Mus musculus: one gene and its partners. The protein of the gene in region 1 binds, or shares a complex with, the protein of each later gene. Links are inferred from orthologs where the notes say so. Each region holds a gene or a part of one and is shown in the gene's direction. Other genes may lie near its edges. The genes, in order: Med13l, Ccnc, Med12, Med25, Med23, Med31 and Med24.

Evidence for each region.
Region 2: Med13l (region 1) and Ccnc share a complex: the UniProt entries of both Homo sapiens proteins name them as parts of the mediator complex. The link is inferred for Mus musculus from reciprocal best matches to the Homo sapiens genes MED13L and CCNC.
Region 3: Med13l (region 1) and Med12 share a complex: the UniProt entries of both Homo sapiens proteins name them as parts of the mediator complex. The link is inferred for Mus musculus from reciprocal best matches to the Homo sapiens genes MED13L and MED12.
Region 4: Med13l (region 1) and Med25 share a complex: the UniProt entries of both Homo sapiens proteins name them as parts of the mediator complex. The link is inferred for Mus musculus from reciprocal best matches to the Homo sapiens genes MED13L and MED25.
Region 5: Med13l (region 1) and Med23 share a complex: the UniProt entries of both Homo sapiens proteins name them as parts of the mediator complex. The link is inferred for Mus musculus from reciprocal best matches to the Homo sapiens genes MED13L and MED23.
Region 6: Med13l (region 1) and Med31 share a complex: the UniProt entries of both Homo sapiens proteins name them as parts of the mediator complex. The link is inferred for Mus musculus from reciprocal best matches to the Homo sapiens genes MED13L and MED31.
Region 7: Med13l (region 1) and Med24 share a complex: the UniProt entries of both Homo sapiens proteins name them as parts of the mediator complex. The link is inferred for Mus musculus from reciprocal best matches to the Homo sapiens genes MED13L and MED24.

What each region holds. Positions count from the first base shown.
Region 1 is NC_000071.6:118,559,444-118,563,518, forward strand, and holds the start of Med13l (mediator of RNA polymerase II transcription subunit 13-like), read left to right. Parts: upstream 1-1,275; 5' UTR 1,276-1,342; coding exon 1,343-1,414; intron 1,415-1,418; exon of another isoform or gene 1,419-2,368; intron 2,369-4,075. UniProt on the Homo sapiens protein: Component of the Mediator complex, a coactivator involved in the regulated transcription of nearly all RNA polymerase II-dependent genes.
Region 2 is NC_000070.6:21,726,490-21,730,500, forward strand, and holds the start of Ccnc (cyclin-C), read left to right. Parts: upstream 1-1,211; 5' UTR 1,212-1,394; coding exon 1,395-1,426; intron 1,427-3,907; coding exon 3,908-4,011. UniProt on the Homo sapiens protein: Component of the Mediator complex, a coactivator involved in regulated gene transcription of nearly all RNA polymerase II-dependent genes.
Region 3 is NC_000086.7:101,284,091-101,287,590, forward strand, and holds part of Med12 (mediator of RNA polymerase II transcription subunit 12), read left to right. Parts: intron 1-55; coding exon 56-283; intron 284-453; coding exon 454-598; intron 599-771; coding exon 772-892; intron 893-1,370; coding exon 1,371-1,472; intron 1,473-1,568; coding exon 1,569-1,682; intron 1,683-1,934; coding exon 1,935-2,110; intron 2,111-2,277; coding exon 2,278-2,457; intron 2,458-3,470; coding exon 3,471-3,500. UniProt on the Homo sapiens protein: Component of the Mediator complex, a coactivator involved in the regulated transcription of nearly all RNA polymerase II-dependent genes.
Region 4 is NC_000073.6:44,889,565-44,893,645, reverse strand, and holds the start of Med25 (mediator of RNA polymerase II transcription subunit 25), read left to right. Parts: upstream 1-1,281; coding exon 1,282-1,415; exon of another isoform or gene 1,416-1,501; coding exon 1,502-1,547; exon of another isoform or gene 1,548-1,581; intron 1,582-1,738; coding exon 1,739-1,863; intron 1,864-4,081. UniProt on the Homo sapiens protein: Component of the Mediator complex, a coactivator involved in the regulated transcription of nearly all RNA polymerase II-dependent genes.
Region 5 is NC_000076.6:24,876,486-24,879,985, forward strand, and holds part of Med23 (mediator of RNA polymerase II transcription subunit 23), read left to right. Parts: intron 1-454; coding exon 455-556; intron 557-1,903; coding exon 1,904-1,973; intron 1,974-3,187; coding exon 3,188-3,300; intron 3,301-3,500. UniProt on the Homo sapiens protein: Required for transcriptional activation subsequent to the assembly of the pre-initiation complex. Component of the Mediator complex, a coactivator involved in the regulated transcription of nearly all RNA polymerase II-dependent genes.
Region 6 is NC_000077.6:72,212,531-72,216,830, reverse strand, and holds the start of Med31 (mediator of RNA polymerase II transcription subunit 31), read left to right. Parts: upstream 1-1,500; 5' UTR 1,501-1,842; coding exon 1,843-1,870; intron 1,871-2,615; coding exon 2,616-2,693; intron 2,694-2,957; coding exon 2,958-3,054; intron 3,055-4,300. Other genes in the region: 4930563E22Rik (uncharacterized protein C17orf100 homolog), read right to left, coding at 1,111-1,500. UniProt on the Homo sapiens protein: Component of the Mediator complex, a coactivator involved in the regulated transcription of nearly all RNA polymerase II-dependent genes.
Region 7 is NC_000077.6:98,715,920-98,719,419, reverse strand, and holds part of Med24 (mediator of RNA polymerase II transcription subunit 24), read left to right. Parts: intron 1-136; exon of another isoform or gene 137-149; intron 150-563; coding exon 564-602; intron 603-849; coding exon 850-923; intron 924-1,277; coding exon 1,278-1,510; intron 1,511-1,654; coding exon of another isoform or gene 1,655-1,711; intron 1,712-2,894; coding exon 2,895-3,006; intron 3,007-3,138; coding exon 3,139-3,289; intron 3,290-3,500. UniProt on the Homo sapiens protein: Component of the Mediator complex, a coactivator involved in the regulated transcription of nearly all RNA polymerase II-dependent genes.

The sequences.
Region 1 (4,075 bases):
TCTACCTCTTTCCAAGTCAACTTTCTCCCTTTCTCTATTTCCACGACGAAAAGTCCTGGAAGGCAGTCTCCGGCATCAGCACTTCTCCCAGTCCCATTACTCTCTGAAGAAGGGATGCTGGTTATTATTGACCGCTTGGAGCTGGAGGAAGGGCCTGCTCCCCTCCACATAGCCCAGTGTGAATGTGGCACCTAAGAGCGCTGGGATCATCTATGTAAGGAATGCCTGCGTGCACGCACAGAGTGGGCGCCAAGGGCTCCAGCAGCCGGGATGCTTTAGGAGCTCAGCGCTCGGGAGGCAGTGAGTCCCGAGCCCTGGCTTCCCGATGCCTGGGTTCGAATCCCGCGACCCCGGGCAAGCACCTCGCTCGCTGCCTTTGTGTCTCTTTGAGTCCTACTCCTCCGCCCGGTGCGCTGCGGCAGGCAGGCCGGCGGGCGGTCGCGCGCGAGGTTTCGAGGAGGAGACACTCCTCGGCTCGCTCGGCCAGGCCGGGCCGGCCCACGCCGCTCCTCGGGGACCCGAGATGCTCCCCCAGGGGGGCTCGGAGGCCGCTCCGGGGAAGCCGCGGCCCTCTTCGGCCCGCGCCCGACGCGCGCCCGCGCCCAGGGCGGGGCGTCCACGCAGCCCCGGCGTCCCACGGCCGCCCGCACCTCTTTCTCTTCCCTCCCTGGCTCCGTCACCCCGCTCCGAGAGGGCCGCGCTCGCTCGGCTCAGCAGCGCCTCCCGCGAGCCACCACCGCCGCCGCCGCCGCCGCCGCCGCGGCCCCTCCCCCGCCCCCCGCGCGGCCGGCGCCCGTCACGTGACGCGCCGCAGCCAATGGCGGGCCGAGCCGCGGTCGGCGGCCGCCATTGCTGTCAGAGCGAGCGAGCCCGGGGAGGGAGGAGAAGCGCGGCCGACTGGGGAGGAGGGGGGGGGTGGGGAGGAAGAGGAAGGAGGGGACGGCGCTCGGCTGCCGGGGTCGCCCGCTGGCTTCGTCCGCACCCCCCCCTTCGCGGGCTCGCGCAGCGGCGGCGGCGGCGGCGGCGGCTCGGGGCGGCTGCGGGGCTCGCGTGCCTCCCGCGCCGGCGCGGCCGAGGGCGAGTCGCCCGCCGGCTTGGAGATAAACAAGGCGGCCGACGAGGCGGCGAGGCGGAGGCGGAGGCGGCGGCCCTGCGCGACAGAGGCGGGCGGCGTTGCCGGCCCGCGCCCCCCGCCGCCGCCGTCGTCGCCGTCGTCGCCACCGCCGCCCTCGGGCCTCCCGCGCGGGCCTCGCGCCCCTGGTGCCCGGGAGCCGCCGCCGCCGCCGCCCGGCCCGGCCCGCTCCGACATGCCCCGCTCTGGCGGCCGGGCTCGCGGAGGACCATGACCGCCGCGGCGAACTGGGTAGCGAACGGGGCGAGCCTGGAGGATTGTCACTCCAACCTCTTCTCGCTGGTGAGTGGCGGGGCGGGGGGGAGCCCGGGTTGGGGGGCGCGACCTCCCCGCCGCGCAACTTTCTCCTCCCGGAGCCCTGGCGGCGTCGGCGAGCGCGGCGCCCGGCGTGGACGTGCGTGGGGAAGTCGGGGCGCTGCGGACGCCGGGGCGCGCTCGGAGCGCCCACCTCCGTGGCAATCACACCCCCTCCCCTCCCCTTCCCCCCTTATTTTCTTTTTTTTTCTTTTTTCTCCTCCTTCCCCGAAATGTGGAAGGCTTTTCTGCCTTGTGCAGCCGCCGGCGCGGGTGAGCTGCAGGCTCGTCCTCTCTCTCTCTCTCTCTCCCGATCGGATCGGCTGCTCTCCCACTCGCCGGCGTCTGCCTTCTGATTTTTTCTTTCTCTCTTCCTCTGTTTCTCCGTTTTTTTCCCTTTTTTTTCCTTTTAATATTTCCACAATGACACCTGCGATTTCGCCCGAAAACAGTTGATGGAAGGCGATGGTGTCAGGGAAAAGGACTCTGGCAGCCGGAGCTCGCTCGCGCCGTTGTAAACACGGACAGCCGCCCGCCTCTCGGGGTTTACTACGCCGGAGAGCGGGAGAGCCATTGCTCGGAGCCCACGGAAGGTGGAGGAAGCTGCTGCTCCTCGCTCTCCTCCGCTGCCTTTAAAAACTGTTTTCTCTGCTTTAACAAGGAACACACACACACACACACACACACACACACGAGCAACAAGCTGGGCGGTTTGATAACATCGCTTTTATCTGCCTTCGCCTCTCCTCTCTCCCGCTCTCGCCTCTGATAATTGACAACTTTTGCTTTGGAAGTGCATCGCCTGCCTTAATCTCGAACCATTTAGGGTGTCAATTGTTCTTCTGGAAGCCTGGCACCGGGCGACGGCGGCTCGATTCGTCGAAATTAAAAATGTATAGAGCTCCAGCAACTCTTTCCTGGCGGTGGCAGTGACATTTGGTGGTAAATGCCATCTTTGCTTTTTATTGGGTCGTATTACCTAGCTCTGAAAACATTCGCGTTGTTAAACCCGGCGCTTACGCTGATAATGGGAGTGCATGGTCTTTAAATACGCGCTTTGTGCCTGAGTTACTGTGTGTGTGTAGCTATGTGCCCGGGAGAGTACGAATTTGTTTAAATATTGAGCAAAGATTTGTAAACAGATGTAAGGCAATTATGTTTCAAGCGTAGAATATAATTGGAAAATTGGTTGAACGGCCTATTTAATTTAGCCTTAAAAACTCAACTTATTTTAGTTGTGTGCCCAATTTTGGTGGGGAGGGTGCTGGGGGGGAGGGTGCTGACTTTTGGAGAGCATGCATTTATTGCAAATTATTTTCTGGAACCCCTGCTGCAGATAGAAGCTTTATTTCCTTTTAGTCCTTGTTTACACTGGATAAATAATTTAGTGTTCAAATTGTAATTAGTTACATTTAATTATGGGTGGCATAGATGCTTTTTCTCCCCTTGGAGACTAGTGGAGAAAGAGGAATTGTTGCCAACTTTGGAAGTGTCATTCTGTTTTCATGCTGATGAAGAAATCAAGCATGATTTTGGCCTACAAAGACACAGGAGTGACACAGTCCCCCTGCTCCCACTCTTGTAAGCAGGCTGATTCCTGATCACCCCGAATTTTATCCTGAGGCTGTTTCGAGGTTCAGTTAGAAGTTGGGGGTCCTTCCTTTTACCCCTGTGGTAATTTACCGTTGATCTTTTGATGTGAGGATAAAACTACTTCTGTCTCTTTTTTCACCCCCCCCTTCCCTTGTCTGTCATTTATTATTAGGTTCAGGGACCTTCATAGATCAGCAAATGTATTGACTAGGCGGTATTTACCCCCCCCCCCAACCAATTTGGTGACTGGGTGACCGCAATGACACTTTTATAGGTAATTAAAATAACCAAGTCAGCTGGTGTTAGCTGGGGAGAGCTCCCACTTGCTGTGCATCAGGCTGAGAGCAGTGCTGCCTGTGTGCATGTGGCTAATGTATACACAGTGTGTTGTGCAGGCAAATGCATGCCTGCTGACTGCACAGCTCCACTCTCAGCTTCAGGGATCTATGGGGTAGAGATGAGATGGTCCGGATTCTTTCTTTAATTTCTGGACTTTGATTTTGACTGCATTCTGGGTATTTCTCCGCTTAAACCAAAAAGTTGACTTGAATATAAAGTACAATTAACTTTTTTGGGTAACTCCATTGAAATGCAGAAATGGCTTAGATTAGTTTTAAAATGTAACGTATTTCCTGATACCTCGAGGTAGGTAAATGCTGTCTAGTTGTTTAAGAAATTTATCTTTATTTTATATGCATCGCTGTTTTGCCTGCTTGTGTGAGGGTGCTGGGTTCTTTGGGATTGGAATTAGAGACCATTGTGAGCTGCCACGAAGGTGCTGGGAATTGAACCCAGATTCTCTGGAGGATCAGTCAGTACTCTTAACCCCTGAGCCATCTCTCCAGCCCTAAACTTTCTTAGAAAACCAAGCCAAATAAAAGAGACCCACGGAAAACCAAAACCAAGAATAAACTGCCAACAGTCCTTTATTCGGATTCTTAATTGAGAATTTTTTTCTGAAGAGCATACACACAGCAGCAACCTATCTTACTTATTGAGAATACATTGCGTAAAGAACATTGTATAGAATAGTTGATTTCAAAGGAGAGGCATCCT
Region 2 (4,011 bases), on another chromosome or scaffold:
AAGATCTAGAGGGCAGCCAGGAAGAACTAGCCAGCTTTAGGAAATACCATGAGAATGAGACGAATTTTCAAGCTAAGTTGGGGGTATAACAATGTTATAACAATGAAGCCTAGTCTAGCTCATCCAAATTCAAGAATAAATGTATTTCACAGGTTAATTGTGTACGTGCCTAAGTGGGTGGAATTTAAAAACATCTTTTCTATAGTTGGCATACTAGTTTCACTTATAGAAATTGTTTTCACTCCATTCCACATCTCAATTAGACTCCACTCACAAAGGAAAAACATTGGTGCTATCTTCCTCGGAATTCTTGACTAATTTTCAGGTGTGCCCAATCATTTAGAGACATTTTTTAATTTAAATTAAAACTTAAAAGATTTAGATAGATCCTCACCTGTCCTAGGCTGGCCCAAAACAACGTATCTGAGGGTATTGAATACCCTTAGCTTGCAGGTGTATATAGTGCTGAGTATCACCCAGAGCTTCTGGGGCACCAGCAAGCATTTTACATCCTTGATTATCTACATCCCTTTTCCTCTTTTCCCCTAGATGGCGTCTCAGCATGAAGCAAGGACTGGCCTGAAACTCCTCATGTTCTTGACTCTGCCGCCGAAGTACAGTACGAAACGCGAACGCAAAGTTGCAATGATAACAGCAACATTTAAATATTATTTAATTGCATTTCTGCGGCATACCCATTTGGAACGTAAGTGTTAGCTAGATGTACATTTATATGCTCATGTTTTTAGGTAAACAAGTAGCCGGCTCTGACATAAAAAGATTGCTACTCTAAGTTAAGTCTACACTTAACTCGTTAGGCTTAATACCGACAGGAACTTTACTAAGAGCACTTACATCTTAAGGCCAAAATTACTTTCATTTATTTCTCCTTTCAGCCCTAGGGAAAAAGCAGTCATATACTGCCATGCTTTCTTCAACGCCAGTGTGCTATTTCTGAAGGCCTACACCGTGGATTAACAAGATCCCTAAATGGACCCAAAAGAAAACCGCACTAGACCAGAAACCCAGTGTGTGGACGCTCTGGAGGAGAATTGGCAGGAAACCTCGGGGAGAGCCTCTCGCCACCGGGAGCCTCCGCCCGTGTTTCCTTAGCTCCCGCCTCAACAAGCCCATTGGCGGTCGGGCGGTTGCTAGCTTCCTCCGCAACTAGGGCGGGCCGGAACTTTTGTCTGCCGGAACCGGTGTACGCCGCTCAGTGTTGTCGACCGGCGTCAAGGCGACGAGGGTGCTGTTCTCTTCCTCCGGCTGCGGTGGCTGTGGAGTTCAGCCCAGCCAGTCTGGTAGGAGCACAGTCGTCCGGACTGTGTCTATGGTCGCTCCGCGGGCCGCTTTGCTGGCTGGTGCATTTGTATCAGGGCAAGCAGTATTATTCCATGGCAGGGAACTTCTGGCAGAGCTCCCACTAGTAAGTGAGCTTCCATTTTCTCGCCTGGGGCCGGGGCTGGGGCACAGGAGGGCTGGGCCTGCCCATCCCTCGGGGTTTCCATCCTGGCCGCTGCGGGTGAGCCCTCCCTGGGAAGCCGGGGGTCCGAAACGTGATGCTGTCGTTTGCGAGCCTCCCCTCTTCTCACAGAGAGATTTCGGGAGCAGAGGGGAGGTGAGCTCGAAGGATGGGTAAGAGGTAAGGGGTTTGATCTCCGGGAAGGGAGTCGGAGGCGGTTTCATTTCAAATTTGGGGTTTGATTGGTGGGATGATGTGGGCACCGGCAAGGGAAAGAGTGACCCATTGTAGCTCTGTGAGGTTCCCTGCTTTGGATGGACATGGTTGGCTATTGCTAGCTAGCTTGTTTGTTTGTTTGTTTTTTCATAGCAGTGATATTATAATCTCTTGTCATTCGCCTTACTGTAGATTTAATATTTACTCAGAGGAGAGGAGTGAGTCGTGCTTGTTTCTACCTGCTGCTTCCTGGCCCAGCCTTATGCCTAGATTGACACCACTACCCCCATCCCCGAAGCAGTGTTTCTCACGTTGAGGGATGGCTGCCCTAAAACTCACAGGCTGGCATCGAACTTAATGAAATCTGCCTGCCTCTGCTTCTGCTTCTAAGTGTTGGAATTAAAGGCATGAGCCACCAATTGCAGGCTCCTAAATTGACTTTAATGCTTCTAGAATTTGCGAGCACAGGGGCTCTCAAAATATATCCATTTTCATTCATTAGCCAGTGTCTTATATTTTGCCTTAAAGTCGTGTATTTCCCAGATTTTGTCCTCTTCCTTTAACCACTTAAATCACTAAATTTTAATGTCTTTCAGTGACCATGGAAGGGCTAAAGTAATCTTAAAGATATTTGTCTCTAAATACATTTGGTTAAACATGCAGGAAGTTGTATGCTTGGGCTAAGCGTTGAGCAGGCTTTCCACTAAATACATAAAAAATGAACAGGACTAGATAGAGACATTTAGTTTAATTAAATTTTAGTGGGAAGAGAATAACAAAATTTTAATTCTGTGAATTGGTTTGCTTGTTTCCCTCTTTGCCTGAGAATAAAGAAGAAGAAGGGGGAAAAAAAAAGAAAGAAAGAAAACTGAATTTGGAAACCTGTTTCTGAAAGCAGGTCCTCCCTTGCTACCAAGTGTTTCTGGGAAGATGAAAGGCCAATGAAGCATCACTGGGGGACATTATTTTACATTGTTCTCACTCACTGAGATGTTTCCATTAAAAAAATGAAATACAAAAGGGGATGACCCAAAAAGGTGGGATAAAGCTTGGGCCTGTACTTAATCCTGGTGCTCAGATAATGCCTTGATTGCCTGTCTCAGTGACATAATACTAAGACAGGCAGTAGTAAGTCTTTGGATATAGCAAGAGTCTATCTTCCAGGATGGTTCTTAGTCTAGAGGGTCTGAAAACCTGTGTGCTGGTGTTTGGTACACATGACACTATGAAGGAAATTGAGAAAGAGGTAGAGAAGCTTTGAAACCATCAAGAGATTCTTTACCCTCAAGTTTTCCTGTTTTTTGTTTTTTTCTTCAAACGATCTTGCTGAGGCTGCCAGTGGGCTGCTGAAAAACTAGAGAACTCTGATGAATAACTTACCTGAGAGTTTGAAATGGCGTCTACAGCATCCTTGTTAATCGACCAGACAGTACGGGAGTCACACTGATTGACACAGATTTATATCCAGCAAAGCACTCACAAATATATTCCACTCACAAATAGCACTCACAAAAACCAAAGAGATTTTATTGGTCCAACAAGACTGAGAAACTTGGGGGTGATGGTGAAAACACTGATTGAAAAGGGGATTAAATTAGAAAAATATAAAATTTGCTCCAGGTCTGAATGTATTTGAAACAGGTGAGCATGTATTGAAGAACTCAAGTATTTCATTGTTGAACATAATTTACTAAGGATTTTAGAGACCTATTCTGAAGAGTTAATGCTGAAGTTTCAGAGGTAAACTGGTGCTCTACCTCAGCTGCATTCCCAGCCAGACACTGTCTTTTATCAATGTTTTAAGTACATACCTCCAAATAAATAAATAAATAAATAAATAAATAAATAAATAAATAAATGGAGGAAGAAGAAGCTGGGTGAAGCACTGCATGCCTTTAATCACAGAACTTGGTGGTGATGGGGAGGGGCCGATCTCTGTGAGCTTGAGGCTGGTCTGATCCATGGAAGGAGTTCCAGGATAGCCAGAGCTAACCAGAACCAAACAGACAAATAAAGACAGAGAGAGGTGTGCCTCGTAGAAGATGGTAAGCTTATTGAATCTTAATGTTTTAAATGCTTTGGCTTGTTGGCTTTTTTCCTATAAATTTATTTATTCACTTTACATCCCAATATCAACCCTCTCTCCTCCCAGTACCTCAAGCAGCTCCTCCCCTTCCCATCCCTGCTGTTGCCTTTCTATGCCATGTTTTAAATCTTTACCTTCTCTAGTTTGCAGTGGATTTTGGATAAACAAGATCTGTTGAAAGAGCGCCAAAAGGACCTAAAGTTTCTCTCAGAAGAGGAGTATTGGAAGTTACAAATATTTTTTACAA
Region 3 (3,500 bases), on another chromosome or scaffold:
CTGTACCCCACCAGGCCTCCTTCAGTATTGCTGTTTCCTTTCCCCACCTCTGCAGTGACTTTTGCTCAAAAGTGAAGAACACCATCTACTGTAACGTGGAGCCATCGGAATCCAATATGCGCTGGGCACCGGAGTTCATGATTGACACTCTGGAGAACCCTGCCGCTCACACTTTCACCTACACGGGGCTCGGCAAGAGTCTTAGTGAGAACCCTGCTAACCGCTATAGCTTTGTGTGCAATGCTCTTATGCACGTCTGCGTGGGCCACCATGATCCTGATAGGTATGGGCTGTCCTGAGTTAAGGAATGAGTATCATGCTTTACCTGATACTGGGAGGGCTGGCTGACCAGAGATACTCTCCCTTCCCTTGTTATTGGGGCAGAGATCGGAAGTTAGGTGTCTGAGGTATTGTGGGACGAGTCTTCCTGAGGGCTTTTGTACTTTTCCCTAGGGTAAATGACATCGCCATCCTTTGTGCAGAGCTGACCGGCTATTGCAAGTCCTTGAGTGCTGAGTGGCTAGGAGTACTTAAGGCCTTGTGCTGCTCCTCGAACAATGGCACTTGTGGTTTCAATGATCTCCTGTGCAACGTAGACGTAAGCCTTTGGGTGGGGTCTTGCTGGAAGATGAGGCACTTACCTATTTGCTAGAAATCTGGCTACAATCAAGACCGTAGAGGGTCAGAGTTGAGTAGAGTGGAGGCATGGCACACTGACTATGTCTCTTTCCCCATACTGACTCACAGTGGGCGTTCATCTGTTTTCCTTAGGTCAGTGATTTGTCTTTTCATGATTCCTTGGCTACTTTTGTTGCTATCCTCATCGCCCGTCAATGTTTGCTCCTAGAAGACCTGATTCGCTGTGCAGCCATCCCTTCACTCCTCAATGCTGGTAAAGTGCCAGTCGGTAACCTCTAGAATGTCAGAACTGTACCATGTATGCTCGTGCATGCTCCCTAGCCAGCCTGTGATTATGAACCCCCCTGCTGCAGTTCCCAGGCCAGTGCTTTGTTGCACCCCAGGCTGGAAGGATGGAAAGGCTTCTTTTGATGCAGCACTGATGCAACCCCCTCACACACCCCCCCCCCACAGTTGAACCCAGTACCTCCCTCATGTTTGAGCATGAGCTTCATCCAGCCCAGCCTATGGAAAAACCTTTTAGTTTTGACCTTTCCGCTGTATAACGTTTTTGCGCTCCACTTCTCCTTCAGGATTATATTGTTTCTTCCCCTTTCACCTCACTTATATTTCAGTTTATTCCTCCTCCCAACACACACATACACATGCACAGTATTCCATTTTGTTCTTTTTCAGATCTGCTCTGTCTTTATTCTCATTCATTCATTCATTCATTCATTTATTTTTGTTAGCTTGTAGTGAGCAGGATTCTGAGCCAGGAGCCAGGCTTACTTGCCGAATCCTCCTCCACCTGTTCAAGACGCCACAACTCAATCCTTGCCAGTCTGATGGAAGTGAGTGACTTTGATTGGAGCCAGGCAGTTATAGAAACAGGCTCTCCCAACCCACTGCTTTTACTCCTGTTTCCCCTAACTTGGACTTCCTTGCAGACAAACCTACTGTTGGAATCCGGTCCTCCTGTGACCGCCACCTGCTGGCTGCCTCCCAGAACCGCATCGTGGATGGGGCTGTGTTTGCTGTTCTCAAGGCTGTGTTTGTACTCGGTATGCAATGGGGTAGGGAGAGAGACATGCCAGAAGTGTATATAGGGTGGAGTGCCAGCTGAACTACAGGGACAGTCTTTCTCTATCCCAAAGGTGGTCTCTCTGACCTTTGGAGAAAGGGGGTGGAGAGAAGTATATTTCTGTTTCACAGGGCAGCGTTTGGGGAATTTCTGCCCCTGTGGGCCAGGGCAGGTCTCCATACACTGTTCTGATCTCACTGTGCACTCTCTATCTCCCACCCATGAACCGCAGGAGATGCGGAGCTAAAAGGTTCAGGCTTTACTGTGCCGGGAGGAACAGAAGAACTTCCAGAAGAGGAGGGAGGAGGTGGTAGTAGCGGTCGGAGACAGGGTGGCCGCAACATCTCTGTGGAGACAGCAAGTCTGGATGTCTATGCCAAGTACGTGCTGCGAAGCATCTGCCAACAGGTCAGTCTCACCTTCCCCCCCATACCACCTATAAATGCTTCTATGTAATCTAGCCCTGTTTCTAGCCCATGACCACACTACCTCCCTGCTATACATTGGGTCCTTTACCTGCCCCTGGCACAACTTCCCAGGGTTGCCTGCTGTCCTCTAATTATCAGCCTCCTTAGGAATGGGTAGGAGAACGTTGCCTTAAGTCACTGTGTGAGGATAGCAATGATCTACAAGACCCAGTGTTGAGTAGTGCCCAGGCCCAGCGCCTCATGCAACTTATCTGCTACCCACATCGACTGCTGGACAATGAGGATGGAGAAAACCCCCAGCGGCAGCGCATTAAACGTATTCTCAAGGTAGGCTAAAGGAGCTGGGGTGCTAGGGGGCAGCAGGACAGACCTTACCTGGAAATAGTGGGAACCATTCCTCAGTAGGAAGATGAACAAGCATGTAGGAGAATGGGTGCAAGAAAAGCAGCTCCAGCATGGGCTTAGGAGCAGATCTGGTGGTCTGGTCTAGACTCAGAAGTTAGGCTGTTAGGTGAGTGCACAACTGTCTGGGGTGAGCATAGCTCATCTGTGGGACGAATTGCCTCTGAGTGGCCTGGATTCTGCTTTGTATATATGGCACTTTGGTTGTGACTCAGTATTATAGTGGCAAGTGTCTCATGCACAGGTACTGTATGCACAGCACCGTGCCCTCAGTCCTTTTCATTTGATCTTTATGACCTTGTGAAGTGAATAGGAATATCCTTGTTTGACCAGTGAGGAAACTGAGGCTCAAGAGCTTAATTGGCTTGTCTGAGGTCACAGGAGGAGCTAGTAAGGTTTGAGTAACTATGTGGACTCAGCTGTGCCTGTACCCTTTCACTTTGCCTTGTTGCCTGCCTCAGACATTTGACTGACTGGAGTGGGAAAACAAGGCCATGGAGGAAGTCCTAAAGGAATGTGTTCTCTTTAGCCTGGAGGAAATAATACCAAGGGGAGATTACCTAACAGTAGCTTTCCAGTCTCTACAGGACTTCAAAAGAGTGTCCTGTAAAAAGGCTCTGTGGGGGACTTTTGAGAAGCTGATGGAAAACAGCGTAGTCAGGTTTCAACCTTAACATTAAGGATTTAAAGGTTAGGCATTGAGCAGAACTTTGTGGGGCTCTGGGACAAGGATCTAGAGGGGTATGAAATCATTTTTTAACCATAGTAAACTACAGTTGCTTTCAGTGATTTGGGATTATTTAAATGTAGTCTTTCCTAATGAGAGGGGCATAGAGGTCCATTCCAGCTTCTAGCAATCTGTTTTGGGGGAGTATGAGTTAGTCATAAAATAGATAGTAAGGTTGACACAATGATGATTGTTTGGTTTTTGCCACCAGAATTTAGACCAATGGACCATGCGCCAGTCC
Region 4 (4,081 bases), on another chromosome or scaffold:
CAGAGGTAGGGGCAGGCAGATCTCTGAGTTCTGGGAGGCTCCACAAATTTACAGAGCAAGTTCCAGGACAGCCAAGGCTAACACAGAGAAAGCCTGCCTTGGGAGTGGAGGGTGGGGAAGAGATACCAAAAACCAAGGTCTGGGGCAATGTCTCAGTTGCTAACCTGCTTGCAAATGCAAGCAAGTGAGCCAAGTTTGGATGCCTGCCACCTACGTTTTGAAAAATCGCTTGTCTTTTTTTCTTTCTTTTTCTTTTTTTCTTATTTTGTTTTTCGAGACAGGGTTTCTCTGTGCAGCCCTGTCTGTCCTGGAACTCACTCTGTAGACTGATACTGCAACTCAGTCCCACTTGCATCTGCTCTGCACTGGAATTTAAGGCGTGCGCCATCGCGGCTTTGTATCTTTCTACATTAGTACGCTTTATTTAGTAAATTTCTGTCCACACATAAGTTTCCAGGTCATTTTATATTCACTTCGGCTTATGCTGTTAGCTACAATGCTGAGACTCAGTTTTCTCGACTATACCAGACATTACTATTGCACTGTTTATATATATATAGTATTATTATTTTCTTCTTTCTTTTTTTTCTTTTCTTTTTTTCTTTTCTTTCTTTCTCTTTTCTTTTTTTCTTTTTTAATAAGGAATGTATTTTCTTTGATTCTGTTTCTGGCTTCTTTCCCAGAAAACAGAGATTAGGTGTTGCCTAGCAACCTCCACTTAAATTGGAATTCCCTTCTTTCCCAGCAAAAACAACTGCTTCGCTTCCAAGTCCCGGGCAACTTTACAGTGTTGCCTAGCAACGTCGTTTCCAATGATGTGATTGGACCGCTCTCTTTCATCGGTTCCCGGTCAGAAAGAACAGAATTTATTAACTTAATCTCTGTGTGAGACCACAACGGATGGGTACGCGTTGCCTAGCAACCGGATTCCCGACCCTCCCTTTAGCCCGGAGTCGGAAACTAGATTTCGACTCCAAGATGGTGACCGGATGTGCCGTTTTTCGATTTATTTCGTGCTTGATGTTGTGCGCAAAAGTTTGCTCGATTTCAAGAGGCCCTTAAAGGGGCTCGTTGTGCCCATTCTGAGAGTTTCGTGTTGTTGGTATGCCCCAGGGTAGAGATAAAACCACGGCTCGCAAAATGCCCCGCACAAACATGGCCGTATCAGCATCAGCAGAAGCTGCCAGACGTCCGGCGGGGCTGCGCACACCGCGCAAGCGCACTTCTGTTCGTCCCGGGACGGCGACGGCGTCAGCGGCGCTGGCGTCGGCGGCGCGGGGCATGGTCCCCGGATCCGAAGGCCCGGCGCGGGCCGGGGGCCTGGTCGCCGATGTGGTGTTTGTGATCGAGGGGACAGCAAACCTGGGGCCGTACTTCGAGGAGCTCCGCAAGCACTACCTGCTGCCTGCCATAGAGTGAGTGAGCGAGACCTCTCGTCGCCTCCCGCCGCCCTAGCTAACCTAAAGCTCGTGCCGACCCCGCCTTTCCTCCGTCTTTGCAGGTACTTCAACGGGGGACCCCCTGCAGAGACGGACTTTGGGGGAGACGTGAGTGCGCGGCCGAGTCACGGGATGGAAGCCGGTAGACCCCTGTGTCTGAGGGAGGAAAGATGGGGTCCTTAGTCTTGGGTTTGAGAGAAGAAGGGCTCACAGCTTATTTCTAAAATGATCTGAAGTTGGGATGGCCTGTTCCTTGCCAAAGATCTCAGTTGTAAAGTTGTTCTGTCCTTTCTTCCCAGTATGGTGGAACCCAGTACAGCCTTGTGGTGTTCAACACCGTGGACTGCGCTCCAGAGTCCTATGTACAATGTCACGCACCTACCAGCAGTGCCTATGAGTTTGTCACCTGGCTCGATGGCATCAAGTGAGCTTTGCCTCCATTTGGGGCAGGATGGGTACCCCCAAGAAAGACTGTGGGCAGGGTGGCCTGTGATTGAATAGTGCCCCGCACTCAGCAGAACTCAGTGTGGGTCACCACAGTCCCTGTCTGAGTGTCCAGTTACCGTCAGCTTCTTCTTTCTTCCTCTTGTCTGTCTACTCCAGAGGAGTCTGCAGGATGGGTCTGGGCCCTGAGAGCTCCTTACGTGGTTGGGTCACAGTTTACAGTGTAGCCTTTTTTGTTTTTTTTTGTTTTTTTTCGAGACAGGGTTTCTCTGTGTAGCCCTGGCTGTCCTGGAACTCACTCTGTAGACCAGGCTGGCCTCGAACTCAGAAATCCACCTGCCTCTGCCTCCCAAGTGCTGGGATCAGAGGCATGGGCCACCACACCTGGCACAGTGTAGCCTTGAATTGCTGATCTGACTGCTTCTACTTTCTGGTTGCTGGGATTACAGACACCTGCCACCATGACCAGCTTGTAGAGCCAGGCAGCCTAGAGTCATGGCTTCTTCCCAGATAACTCTTTGACTGTCGGGTCCCAGGGTCCTTTGTGCTGCTCGTTTCGTATTTGTTCTCAGTGCTCTTGACTGTCTGTTGCTGTATAACGTTTCCCCACTCCCACCCCACTTTTAAGGATTTCAGAATGCACAGTTGCTCCTCATGAAGCCATCTGTATGTCAGGAACTCAGGAGGATAAGCCAGGCCGTGTGTGTTTGGTCAGGTCTCACAGGGCTGTGTTCATCCACTCTCTGGCATGCCTGAAAGAGCCACGGCCATGAGGCCGTGATGGCTATGATGGCTGTTCTGCGGCTGTGGACAGAGCCTTAGTTCCTTGCTGGCTCTTTGCCATCATGCCCTGGCATATAGCAGAGTGATGCCCAGATTGGCAGCTGGCTCTGCTCAGAGTGAATGAGTGAATCCAGGGGGCAAAGAGGAAGCCACCAGGCTTTTTTGATGACCAAGTGACAGTCCATCACTTTTGTCACCACTTGTTTGGTAGGTGAGTCTATCCTGGTCCAGATAAGAATGGGTGACCAGTGGGATCCCTGGGGACAGACCACCAGAGCCATGTAGGGTGCTGCCGCCCAGCACACAGTAAGCAGTGCGTGAGTGCCCAAAGTTACTGCTTGCCCTGTTCCTGGTCTTGGTTTGCAAATGAATAACAGTGTAGACTGGTGGGCATTGGAAGGGTTGAAGGGGCGCTGGGGCTAACCTCGCCATGTGGATTCCACAGGTGTGTTGTGGTCAAGGTTCATATAGCGGTGCTGATCTAGATCCTGTTTTGATGAAGCAGGTGTGTGTTGAATGTCTGCTTGTCTGCTGTGTTCCAGGTGTGTGTGTGTGTGTGTGTGTGTGTGTGTGTGACATGGTAGGTGGCATGGAAAGCTGACCTGTGCACTGCCCCACCCCCTCCCGGAAGTTGTTAGGATTAGAGTTAATGTAAAGCCAGCCTTCCCATCCTTGACATTGTTGACACTTTGCACTCACGGTTTTTTTTTTTTTTTTTTTTTTGGTTTTTCGAGACAGGGTTTCTCTGTATAGCCCTGGTTGTCCTGGAACTCACTTTGTAGACCAGGCTGGCCTCGAACTCAGAGATCCACCTGCCTCTGCCTCCTGAGTGCTGGGATTAAAGGCGTGCGCTACCACGCCCGGCTTGCACTCACGTTTTTAAAACAGATTTTTTTTTTTTTTAATTTAATGTGTACGAGGTTCTGTATATGCAACACTTGTGCCTGGTGCTCTTTGAGACCAAAAGAGGCCATCAGATCCTCTGGAATTGGAGTTACACAGTGCCATGGAGGTGTTGGGACTGCAGCCTGGATCCCCTGGAAGAGCAGCCAGTGCTCTGAACACTGATTCATTTCTAGGCCCTTAGTCTGGTTTAAACACCACACAGTCCTTTCCATCCTCCTGCCTCAGCCTCACCCATGTTAGGTTTGCTTGTTTGAGCTGCTATACCTAGCTTGGATTATATAAATCTTTTATTTTATTTTTTTAACCCACTCATCTCTCTGTCCCCTCATATCCACCCACAACACTTGCAACCTCCCTTCCAAAATAAAAAAACAAAACAAAACAAAACAGTGTTGATGATTTGTCTGCATGTATGTCTGTGTGAGGGTGCCGGACACTGTAACTGTCCGTAACGGACAGTTCTGAGCTGCCAGCTGCTCTGGAATCCGAGCAGCCAGTGCTCCTAACCA
Region 5 (3,500 bases), on another chromosome or scaffold:
CCATAGTTTACCTCAGTCTTCTGTCTTGTTTTTTGAGGTAGGGTATCATGTAACCCAGCTGGCTCTGAACGAATTTGCAGCTTAGGTGAAGATCGGCCTGAGCTCCAGATTCTCCTGTCTCCATCTCCCAAGCATTGCGATCTCAGACACAAGTTCCTTACATACATTTAAGATCTTGGTAGCCGTTTTCAAGTTCATAATGTATTCTGATTAACTGCAGTCGTGATGTATAACAGACCTTGAATTTATTCCTCCTGATTTCCAGAAGTGAGTCTTTTTTAATCAGCATGTTGAGGGCTCCCTCCCACACAGATACAAGCACACTTTGCCAACTAAGCTATTGTCCCAGCCCCATTTAGTCATTTGTAAATATACTTTTTTGTTGTTGCCGTCGTTGTATTTATAGGTTGTTTGTGTGAGCCTAGTCAAGAATAATGCTTTTTGCTTGTTTTAGGTTATAGCTTATATCTTAGAACGAAATGCCTGCCTATTGCCGGCCTACTTTGCAGTCACAGAGATCAGAAAACTATATCCTGAGGGAAAACTTCCACACTGGGTAAAATTTTCATTTTCTAAAATTTTAAATTCCTATCAAGATGTTATATAATTGTATTGCTTGTATGTACACATACTGTGTGTGTGTCTGTCTGTCTGTCTGTCTGTCTTTGTGTCTGTCTGCCTATCTTAGTTAGGTTTATATTGATATGAAATAAACACCATGACCAAAGCAGCTAAGGAGGAAAGGGTTTATTTGGCTTAAACTTCCATATCATTTTGTGCTATCAAAGGAAATCAAGATAGGAACTCAAGCAGGGAAGGAACCTGGAGGCAGGCGCTTCGGCAGAGGCCAAGGAGGCCGTGGAGGGTGCTGCTCACTGACCTGCTTTCGTGGTTTGCTTGGCCTGCTATTTTACAGAACCCAGGACCACCAGTCCAGGAAGGGCCTCACCCACAGTGGGTTATGTGATCACTGAGAAAATGACTTGCAGCCTCACCTATAATCTAATCCTATGGAGGCAGTTTCTCACCGGGGGCTCCCTCCTCTCAGATGACTCTAGCCTGTGTCATCCTTACATAAAACAAGCAAACACGAACCGTATGTCTGCACATGCCGCAGTGTGAGTGTGGAGTTGGGACGCTTTGAAAGTTGGTTTTCTCCTGTGTCGGAGGGACTCAGCATTATGTTAGCAGGTTTTCTCCTGTGTCGGAGGGACTCAGCATTATGTTAGCAGGTTTTCTCCTGTGTCGGAGGGAATCAGCATTATGTTAGCAGGTTTGCACAGCGAATGATTTCACCTGCTGAGCCTTTTCATCTCACAGCCCCTTTGAGAAGGTAATTACGTATTAGAGTGAACAGAGAACTCGAGACTGGGAGGGTTCCAAAGGAAGACTCAGGTCATGTGCACATTTTCACATGGTCAGGTATCCTTAGGCTCTACATAGTTTACTTAATGTTTATTTGGGGTAGGGGCAGTCTGTGTACCCCGTGTATGTGGTTAGAGGTCAGTTTTCTTGTCTCCCTGTGCTCCGGATCACTGATATTTCAGGCTTGGTGCCAAGCACCTTTCCCTCTTGAACCACGGCGCTGACCCAGGAAATGCATTCTCTTTTTAGCGTAACATATTCGTTTTGTATCTCTATTAACCCATTGAGACAGTTCTTATGTGCTTAAAAACTACAGTTTCATTGACTGGGTAAGGATGCAGTGGTGTGACTTGGCTCAACTTAGGGACACATGGAGACAAGTGTTTGGAAGAAAAAGAAAGAGCACTCGTCTCTAAGTAACTGCCTGTGCCAGGCTTTGTACTGATTCTGTGTAGTATCTGAACTTCCATAGATGATGCACGGAGATGCAGGATAACCTTGTTTGTGTATTGATTTATTTATTTTCTTTTTCTTTTAGTTACTAGGAAACTTGGTATCAGACTTTGTGGATACCTTCAGGCCCACAGCAAGGATTAACTCCATTTGTGGTAAGATCCATTTAAAGGACACTTAGTGTATTACATAGTACCTGTATCGTTAGTGGGCATAGCTGAAGGGCGGCCTCTTAGGGTGACTCGCCACTTTGACACTCTAGGAGTCTAATAATGACGTTTACTTTTAGGTGCTTTGATTAAGGCAAAGACAGCACTCATAGACTTGGGCATCTCTCACATACGACCATTCCAACAGTTGGGTTTCATCTGACTAGAAACACGTTTTATTTTATTTTGTATATCTTAGTTAGCCGGGCACCCTATCGTTATATTTTGGTTTTGGCTTTTTTAGACAAGGTCCTTAAAATCAAGGCTAGCCTGAGATTATGTAAGCAAGGGTGAACTCGAACATTTGATTCTCCTCTGTCCAACTCAGTGCAGGGGTTGCAAACATGAGCTGCCACACTCAGTGTATGTGGTTGTGGGGAGAGAACCCAGGACTGCGTGCCTGCTGAAGAATCTACCACCTGACCCTATTCCTGGCCCCTGAAAATGCTTCCTAAACTCAGGACCACTGGAAATGTCAGCTAGGTTCTTCTGTAGCCATAGTAATGAGAATTCGAGACTCTCCAGTCTATTGTAACCCAGGCACTGTAACCTAGGCACTGTAACCAGGCACTGTAGCCCATGAACTGTAGCCCAGGCACTGTAGCCCAGGCACTGTAGCCCAGGCACTGTAGCCCAGGCACTGTAACCCAGGCACTGTAGCCCAGGCACTGTAGCCCAGGCACTGTAGCCCAGGCACTGTAGCCCAGGCACTGTAGCCCAGGCACTGTAGCCCAGGCACTGTAGCCCAGGCACTGTAGCCCAGGCACTGTAGCCCAGGCACTGTAGCCCAGGCACTGTAACCCAGGCACTGTAGCCCAGGCACTGTAACCCAGGCACTGTAGCCCAGGCACTGTAGCCCAGGCACTGTAACCCAGGCACTGTAGCCCAGGCACTGTAGCCCAGGCACTGTAGCCCAGGCACTGTAGCCCAGGCACTGTAGCCCAGGCACTGTAGCCCAGGCACTGTAGCCCAGGCACTGTAGCCCAGGCACTGTAACCCAGGCACTGTAGCCCAGGCACTGTAGCCCACGCACTGTAGCCTAGGCATTGTAATCCAGGCACTGTAGCCCAGGCACTGTAACCAGGCACTGTAGCCCAGGATGAAGGACCTGCCATGGCCTTGAGCACATTTACATGGAAATATTTTTGTAATGCATGCAGGCCGATGCAGTCTTCTGCCAGTTGTGAACAACTCGGGAGCCATCTGTAACTCATGGAAACTGGACCCTGCAACTCTGCGATTTCCTTTGAAAGGCCTTTTGCCATATGATAAGGTATGTTTTAAATCCAGTGTAGGATTGGCCATCTAAGAATATCTATCCTGTTTTTTCAAGTATTCGATGCCAGATTGCCTCTCTCTCTCTTCTTTTTTTTTAAAGATTTATTTATTTTATTTTATGAGTACACTGTAGCTGTCTTTAGACACACCAGAAGAAGGCATTGGATCCCATTACAGATGGTTGTGAGTCACCAT
Region 6 (4,300 bases), on another chromosome or scaffold:
TTCTTTTGATGATCTCAGAATAAAATTCAAGCTCTTTACTGTAATCCCAGAAGATTTCCAAGACTCTATATGAAGTGGCATCTTCCTCCTTTTTGTTTTCTTCCTTATACCACGCTCTCATATACTAACTGATCTTTCTCTTACATAAACATCTTTGATTTTTAAAAAAAATGTAGACTTTCCCTTCTGTCTAGAATGCACTTCCCTCTAGATCCTGATATGGCTCACTGTCCACTCACACAAATCTCGGACCAAATGTAATCAGCAAGGCTTTCCCTGACCATATTCTCTAAAGAGTTCCCTACTCTCTACCACAAGACAGACAGCCTTTCCTTCGCGGGAATACAACAGCATGTTGTCTTACTTTCCCCTTTGTTGCATGTCTCTTCATTAGAGGAAGATCCTAGTCTTTTCCACTGCTCTAGCTGCCATGCTCTAACTACTACCTAGCATGCAGTAATACTCAGTTACCATCCTGTCAATCTCACGCCTCAGGCCAAGTGTCATGGCTTCTTCTTTACTTTCCCTTCCAAGATTATTAATGGTTTTATTGATTGTTTATTAATTGTCCTGTTTTTTCCTATACCCCCTGATTTAATTTTTTAAGTGTGGGTGGAATACTATGTATGACAACATGAGAAAATGTATAATGAAATATAAGTATTAATAAAGGCCAATTAATAATGTATGAAAGATGATACCTTGCCCTGTAGGTTTCAAGCAGGTATATGATCAGGCCAGCGGTCAAGAATCATGACAAGTTTGGCCCCTCTTTGCAAATTTCAAGTCGTCAACACATCCTAGAGTGACCTAAGACTATAAAACTTACCTGGTGTAGAGACTCAAAGAATCTCATTGTCCATCAGCCAGGTTTATACTGCACTACCAGTCTGAAACCTTCTGTGCTGGCTTCAAGTTAATAGCACACTGGGGTCAACAACAGGATGGTCTAAGGTGCTGCAATGTCAATACATGTTAACAGCCCCCAGAAACCACAGCCTGTTTCTTACACTGATTTATGGGTTCTTTCCATGAAACCAAAGATGCTCGGTTCTCCTGGAAGATGGCTGGCTGGCAACTCTTCAGTCCTGGCTAAGGACCTTTGGCACTTCATCGAGCCATTCTGGCACTCTGCCTGGCTGGGCTCTCAACACGGTGCACAGTAGTCTCCACCCTCAGGGATGACGACGCCCTGACGTGGCGGGAGGACGTTTCCGTGCACTGCGAGGAGGTTTCCACGTGCTGGGAGGACACCTCAAGGAACTGAGGGAGTCGCTTCGTGGAGGGGGTGAGGGAGGGCCCCTCTCGGTGGCGCTGGGAGGTCTCCACCTGCCGGGAAGACGTTCGAACCTGCCGGGAGGACGTCTCCACGCGGTGGGATGACGTTTCCTCGCGGTGGGACGACGTCTCCACGCGGACAGTCGATGTCTCCTTGTGGCGGGTGCTTTCCACTCGCGGGGCGGAGGACTTGCTCCTAAGGGGCGAGGCCATCCTGCCCATACACCTTGGTCAGGTGGGACAAAGAGGCCCAAGGATCATGCTCTGCGTCACGTCACACAGGGAAAGGTGACGTCAGGGTGGTGTATTACGTCGGGGTAGGTAGCAGGACTCTGAGACCTAAAAAATGAGAAGTCCTCCGGCACGCCCCGCTCGATATCTGCGCGCGCAGCCGGCCGGGTCTGCACAGATAGGTGGGGCTAATTTTCCCATAAGTGAGGTTGTCCCCGCCCTCGTGTCCCACTCTGCCCCGCGACCGGAAGTAGGAGCCGTGGCTTCCGGATTCTCACCAATCGAAGTCGCGGTTCGGTCGGGGCTGGTGGTGTTCGCCTCACTCTGATTGTTATGGCCGCGGCCGTCGCTATGGAGACAGGTACGTTGTGACTTGCACCCCGAGTCTTCACCCCAAGGGAATGGTCCTACGCCCCGAAATTCCCTCCCTTTTCCCTTTTCCTGCGCTGTCTTTCGGGTTCAACTTGGCATCCTTAGAGTTGGGACCGGCGGAGGAGAAGGCTGTGCTGCTTCTCAGACTATGGTCTGTGAAAACATCTTTGCTCCTGGGTTGCTCAAACCCCTACTCCAACCCTGGCTCTTGGGGCCGTGCAGGGCCGTGGGAGAGGACTGAGACCTTCCACTGTCTGTGCTGAAGGTACTCCCAAGAACTTGCCCGAAATATCGATAACCTGTGTATTCTAATGCGGACACCGCCTTCTCTCCATTGTTTAATCACTTTGCATCATGCTTCGGTTTTGTGTAGCACATTGATTTTGCTTAACGTAATCACAGTTGATAGTTGTGGTTATAACAACTTAGGGAACCGCACAGCTATTACAGACTGTCCAGTGATCTCCGCTAACAAAGTGGCCTGCAGGTGGTAAATTCCCATTCAACTTATTTTTTCCTCAATTAACTTTAAAGGATTTCTTTACTATTTTTTGTTTTACTATTTTTGTTTTGGAAACAGGGCCTCATTACTTAGTGAATATATATATATATATATATATATATATATATATATACACACACACACACACACATATATACACACACGCATATACATATATCTTTAATTTCTAAGAAAGTCTCTTCTGCACTTTGATATTTGTCTTTTCTCCTAGATGATGCTGGAAATCGGCTTCGGTTTCAGTTGGAGTTGGAATTTGTGCAATGTTTAGCCAACCCAAACTACCTTAATTGTAAGTTAAGTACATCACTAACTTAAGCAACTAGCTCTTAATTTCTGAGAAGAGATGCAGTTTGTAATACTATTTATTACTTCGATGTGTTTGAATGGGATTTTATTTGTTCTGGTCTGTAAGTTAACTGGGCAAACAAAGGCTTGTGTTTTTAATTCCTTGTGTTCTGTTGGTAGGGATGTTAAGAGCTACTTTGTTTTAGAGATTACTAATCAGTAGTCCAGCGGTTGGTTGACATACGGATTGTTTCTTTGTGTCTTTCAGTTCTTGCCCAAAGAGGTTACTTCAAAGACAAAGCTTTTGTTAATTATCTTAAGTATTTGCTTTACTGGAAAGAACCAGAATATGCCAAATATCTAAAGTAAGTTTAATTTTTATAATCCTAAATCTGTGTATACTTTATCATAAATACAAAGTGCTGATACTGAGCAGTTTTCTCTGTGTGGGAATGGAAAATGATATTTTGAATCTTTCTGCTTTTAGTTAATGTAAGATACTGTCATCTGTAACTTAGATTATTTTAGGAATTGCATTTATTTCTGCTACCATTCTTACCTCACTCCCTTCAAACAGAACCAAACAACTGTCTTCATGGGAGCCAGCTTACTCTCTAAGTAATATAAGCCAGAACACACCACTTCTGTTCATGCAGGCTAGCTAAGATCCAGTCAACTGGTTTCAGACTATAGTTCTAATGTAATTTGGTGTCTAACCTTGTCACTTAGCACTGCCCTTGTCTTTCTGGATTTTTAATGCCTACCAAACTATAATCTAGGAAGGTAGGAAGTATTGTTTTCTGGGAGTTTTAGAGGTACTGCCCTTCTTTATAGTGAGTGTTCTTTGTTTCGAGCACTGTGCTAAATGTATTGTACACATTAACTCACTGTAAAAGAACAAACACGGACACTATCAAACTCAATAGCTTTGACTTAAAAAAAAAAAAAGAAGAAGAAGAAGCTGGCACACACCTTTAATCCCAACATTTGGGAGGCAGAGGTGGGCACATGAATTCAAGGCCAGCTTAGTCTACAGAGCTACTTCCAGGGCAGCAAGCTCTACACAGGTAAGCCCTGTCTAGATGTGCCTCTCAAAGGAGGAGACAACAGAAAAACCAGAAGTTTAGCCTGGCATCCCTTTAATCCCAGCTCTCAAGAAACAGAGTCAGGTAGATCTCTATGAGTTTGAGGCCAGCCTGGTTATGTAGCAAATTTCAGGCCAATCAGGTCCACACAGAGAGACTCTTTTTTGTTTTGTTTTGTTTTGTTTTGTTTTTCGAGACAGGGTTTCTCTGTGTAGCCCTGACTGTCCTGGAACTCACTTTGTAGACCAGGCTGGCCTTGAACTCAGAAATATGCTTACCTCTGCCTCCCAAGTGCTGGGACTAAAGGTGTGCGCCACCACTGCCCGGCAGAGACTCTAATTTTAAAAATGAGAGTAAAACATTTCAAAAATTTCTTTTTATCCTCGTTACCTTCCTGACTTGATTTGCTGCCTGTAGATTTGCTCTTCATGATGCAATTATAGATTCCTTTAGGAATCCAAATGATAGACTTGAAGTTATATTAGAAGATATAAAATGTTACATGCTAGCAAATTTTCAGACCGGA
Region 7 (3,500 bases), on another chromosome or scaffold:
ACCACCGCCCGGCACAGTTAATCTTGATAAAAGGAGCAATGGGCCTGATTAGTGTAGAGGCTCAAATAGTTCACATGCACACACCCGCCTCTGTGCTTCAGGTTGAAATTAGGACACATGCTAGGCCGGCACTGACCACCGAAGTGCATCTTCAGTCCAGCAGAGTCACGTCTCCACCCTTGCCTAGCAGGCGTGGGGCTGAGCTTCATCCCCAGGACTCCCTGACCCCATACAAGACAAGACCGTCATTCTGGGTGATTCTTTTGCCCACTAGTGGCCAGTTGAACTTCATTTAGTTTTGGAAAGGAACAGCATAAAGACAAGGCAGGATGCCTTTGGGTACTCGAAACCCTCTCATTCGGCTTATACGCATGCCACTTGCACTGAGTCTGATGGAAGCAGCGATAAGGACAGCACATGTTACTGTGGGCCTTTTAATGAGCTGAGGAAACCTCTTGAAGGGAAGGGGTTGGGGACCTCACGCTGTGGCAGTTTAAGCATCAGTGCTTGCCCCTCCCAAGTAGATGACTTGTCTCAACGTCCTGTGTCTTCCTTCTTTCTAGATGGTGTCCTGCTCCTCTGTGCTCACCGCCATCAGTAAGGTATGACTGTGGCTCTCAGGAGCTGTGGGAGGGGGCAAATAAGGCTACCAGCCTGGCCACTCAGGTCATGTGTCCCCTGAGGCTGGATAGGCAACACCTGATGCCCCCCGCCCAGGAAGGAGGTCCTGGAAATTAGGAACACATTTCCATGTGGCAAGTCTGTGGCCCAGGGCTTGGGGAGGAGAGGTAGCAGAGCTTGTGAGAGGTAGTGCTGAGCCCCCTCCATTGCTCGCTGTTCTTTCTGCAGTTTGATGACTTTTCCCGGGACCTGTGTGTCCAGGCTCTGCTGGATATCATGGACATGTTCTGTGACCGACTCAGGTGAGAGATGGATGTGGAAGCTCAGAGCATTGCATCATCCTTTCAGTGCCGAGGAAAGCCCAGAGTCTAGGGGACGGACTGAGACCAGCTCTGGGTCCCAGGCTGCTTCTGTCTGCCTGCCTTCCCACCTCCAGCTTCTGTTTCCTTAAGACAAAGTGCCTCTTCTCTATTTGGAAGAGCTACTCTAAGATCTCGTCTAGTGGAAGCTGGCTAGACTAGGTGTCTTACCTAGGATTCTGCCAACTTTCCAACTCTGTCCCCTAGTAGTGTTGTGCCAGAGACTCTGGGGGAACATTGGTGTGGGTTGGATTTCAGCTTTTGGAATAGATACAAATTTTCATCCTTTTTGGGTAGTTGCCACGGCAAAGCAGAGGAATGCATCGGGTTGTGCCGAGCGCTCCTTAGCGCCCTCCACTGGCTGCTTCGATGTACAGCAGCTTCTGCGGAGCGACTCCAGGAAGGGCTGGAGGCTGGCACTCCGGCCCCCGGGGAGAAGCAGCTTGCCTTGTGCTTGCAGTGCCTGGAGAAGACCCTCAGCAGCACCAAGAACCGAGCCCTGCTACACATCGCCAAACTAGAGGAGGCCTGTATGTCCCCTGACTCCCCCACACCCTGCCTGCTGCTGCTTCTGTAGCTGGTCCTTTGATTGAGAGGGGAGAGGCAGGATGCCATCCCACTTCTTTCTAGAAGGATCCGAAATCATCCCACTTCCTTTTTTCTCTCCCCATAAGCATTGCATACATCCCAGGGACTTGGGCAGGGTGGCACCCGAGCCAATCAACCAACAGGTATTTACTGAGCCTTCTCGTGTGTCCAGCACTGTGCCAGGTGCTGGAGGGGGGGATGGGGGCTTCCAAAGGAGCATGTGGCAGGGTCCCTGCCCTCAGCAAGCTTACACACTGGTGGGGAGTAAGATTGGAATGCCATGCGCCTGGAGAAATTGGAGGACAAGACAGGCACGTCGTCTGCTCTTGTCTGTCTTCATGTTGCTCGCCTAGAAGCAGATGACTCAGGTGTGACCCGGAACTTCAGTTAAACTCAGTGCCTGTCAGCCATGACTGGATGCTGTTCTCTCTTAACTCAAGTTCTGTTAAGCATTGGCACCTTACAGATTTATAGGAGGGAAGTCTTCATGAGTCCTGAGCCCCAGCAGCTAGGGCCACCTAAGGGTTCTCCATTGACAGGAATGCTAAAATAGGTGACACCCATGTCTTCAGGGCTCAGTGGGAGAGGTTGTTAGGGGATTAGTCTCTCTGGGAAAAGTCCAGAAAGAGACCGATCACTGTGTCAGAATGGGCTGCTCGGACAGCTTTTCTTCATCTGCTTTCTTGTTAGTGTTGGCAGTGCCTTGCCTTCCTGGGCACTTGATAAATGTTTATTGGTAGAAAAGTAGATGAATACTTCATTTTGATGGATCTCAGGTCTCAGTTGTCTTTCTCTTGTCCCTGTGCTACATGGAGGTTAATTGGCTAACTGGTGCCGTCATTCATCATTTGACCCTTTGGGCTTGTAACTAGGATAAGTGACTAGTAATTAAATACTAAGTATGTGCTGTAGACCGTGAGTGCGGCCATTTAAGAGAGTGTCCAGTGGGCTCCACCAGCTGGGTAAGCTATTCAAAGAGCAGAAACTCAAAAGCTGTGTTGGCAAGGTATTTGGAGCTAGAGTAGAAGTGACTGTCCCCGCTTGGCCACTGGATGCTGTACCCACCCCTGTGCCTTGCTCCCATTGCTTGTGTGTCTCGAGTCAGTTGTGTGTAGTCACTGGAAGTCAGGCCCTTGGTATGGTTGCTAGGGGGGTCTTTGTTCCCGGTGCCTACTCCCCTTACCCTACCCTCAGGACTCTGCCTCCTCGTCCTCAGAGGTTCCTTGCTGGATGCTTTCACGGTCCAGGGAGCGCCACGGTCGGGGAGTGTGGACCACGCCCTGCCTCTCCTTCCCAGCAGTTTCTGCCTTGCTTTTTCTCCACCAGCCTCCTGGACTGCCATAGAGCATTCTCTTCTAAAACTTGGGGAGATCCTGGCCAATCTCAGCAACCCCCAGCTCCGGAGCCAAGCTGAGCGTTGCGGCACACTCATCAGGAGGTTAGGTTTCTGCCGGAGATGGGAAGATGGGCTCCATGGTCTGTGTGTGTGTGTGTGTGTGTGTGTGTGTGTGTGTGTGTGTCCCGCTGTCTCCTCAGTTCCCAACACGTCCCCAATGGTGTCTCTCTTCAGCATCCCCAGCATGCTGTCCGTGCACTCCGAGCAACTGCACAAGACCGGCTTCCCCACCATCCACGCACTCATCTTGCTTGAGGGCACCATGAACCTGACCGGGGAGATGCAGCCCCTGGTGGAGCAGCTGATGATGGTGAAGCGCATGCAGGTAGGCGTGGCCAAGCAGGGTGGGTGGCCACTTGGGCTAAGAGGGAGTAGGCTGGTACTTAAGAGGAATAGCTCTTTTTTTTTTTTCTGAGACAGTGTTTCTCTGTGTAGCCTTGGCTGTCCTAGAACTCACTTTGTAGACCAGGGTGGCCTCAAACTCAGAGATCCACCTGCCTCTGCCTCCCAAGTGCTGGGATTAAAGGCGTGAGCTC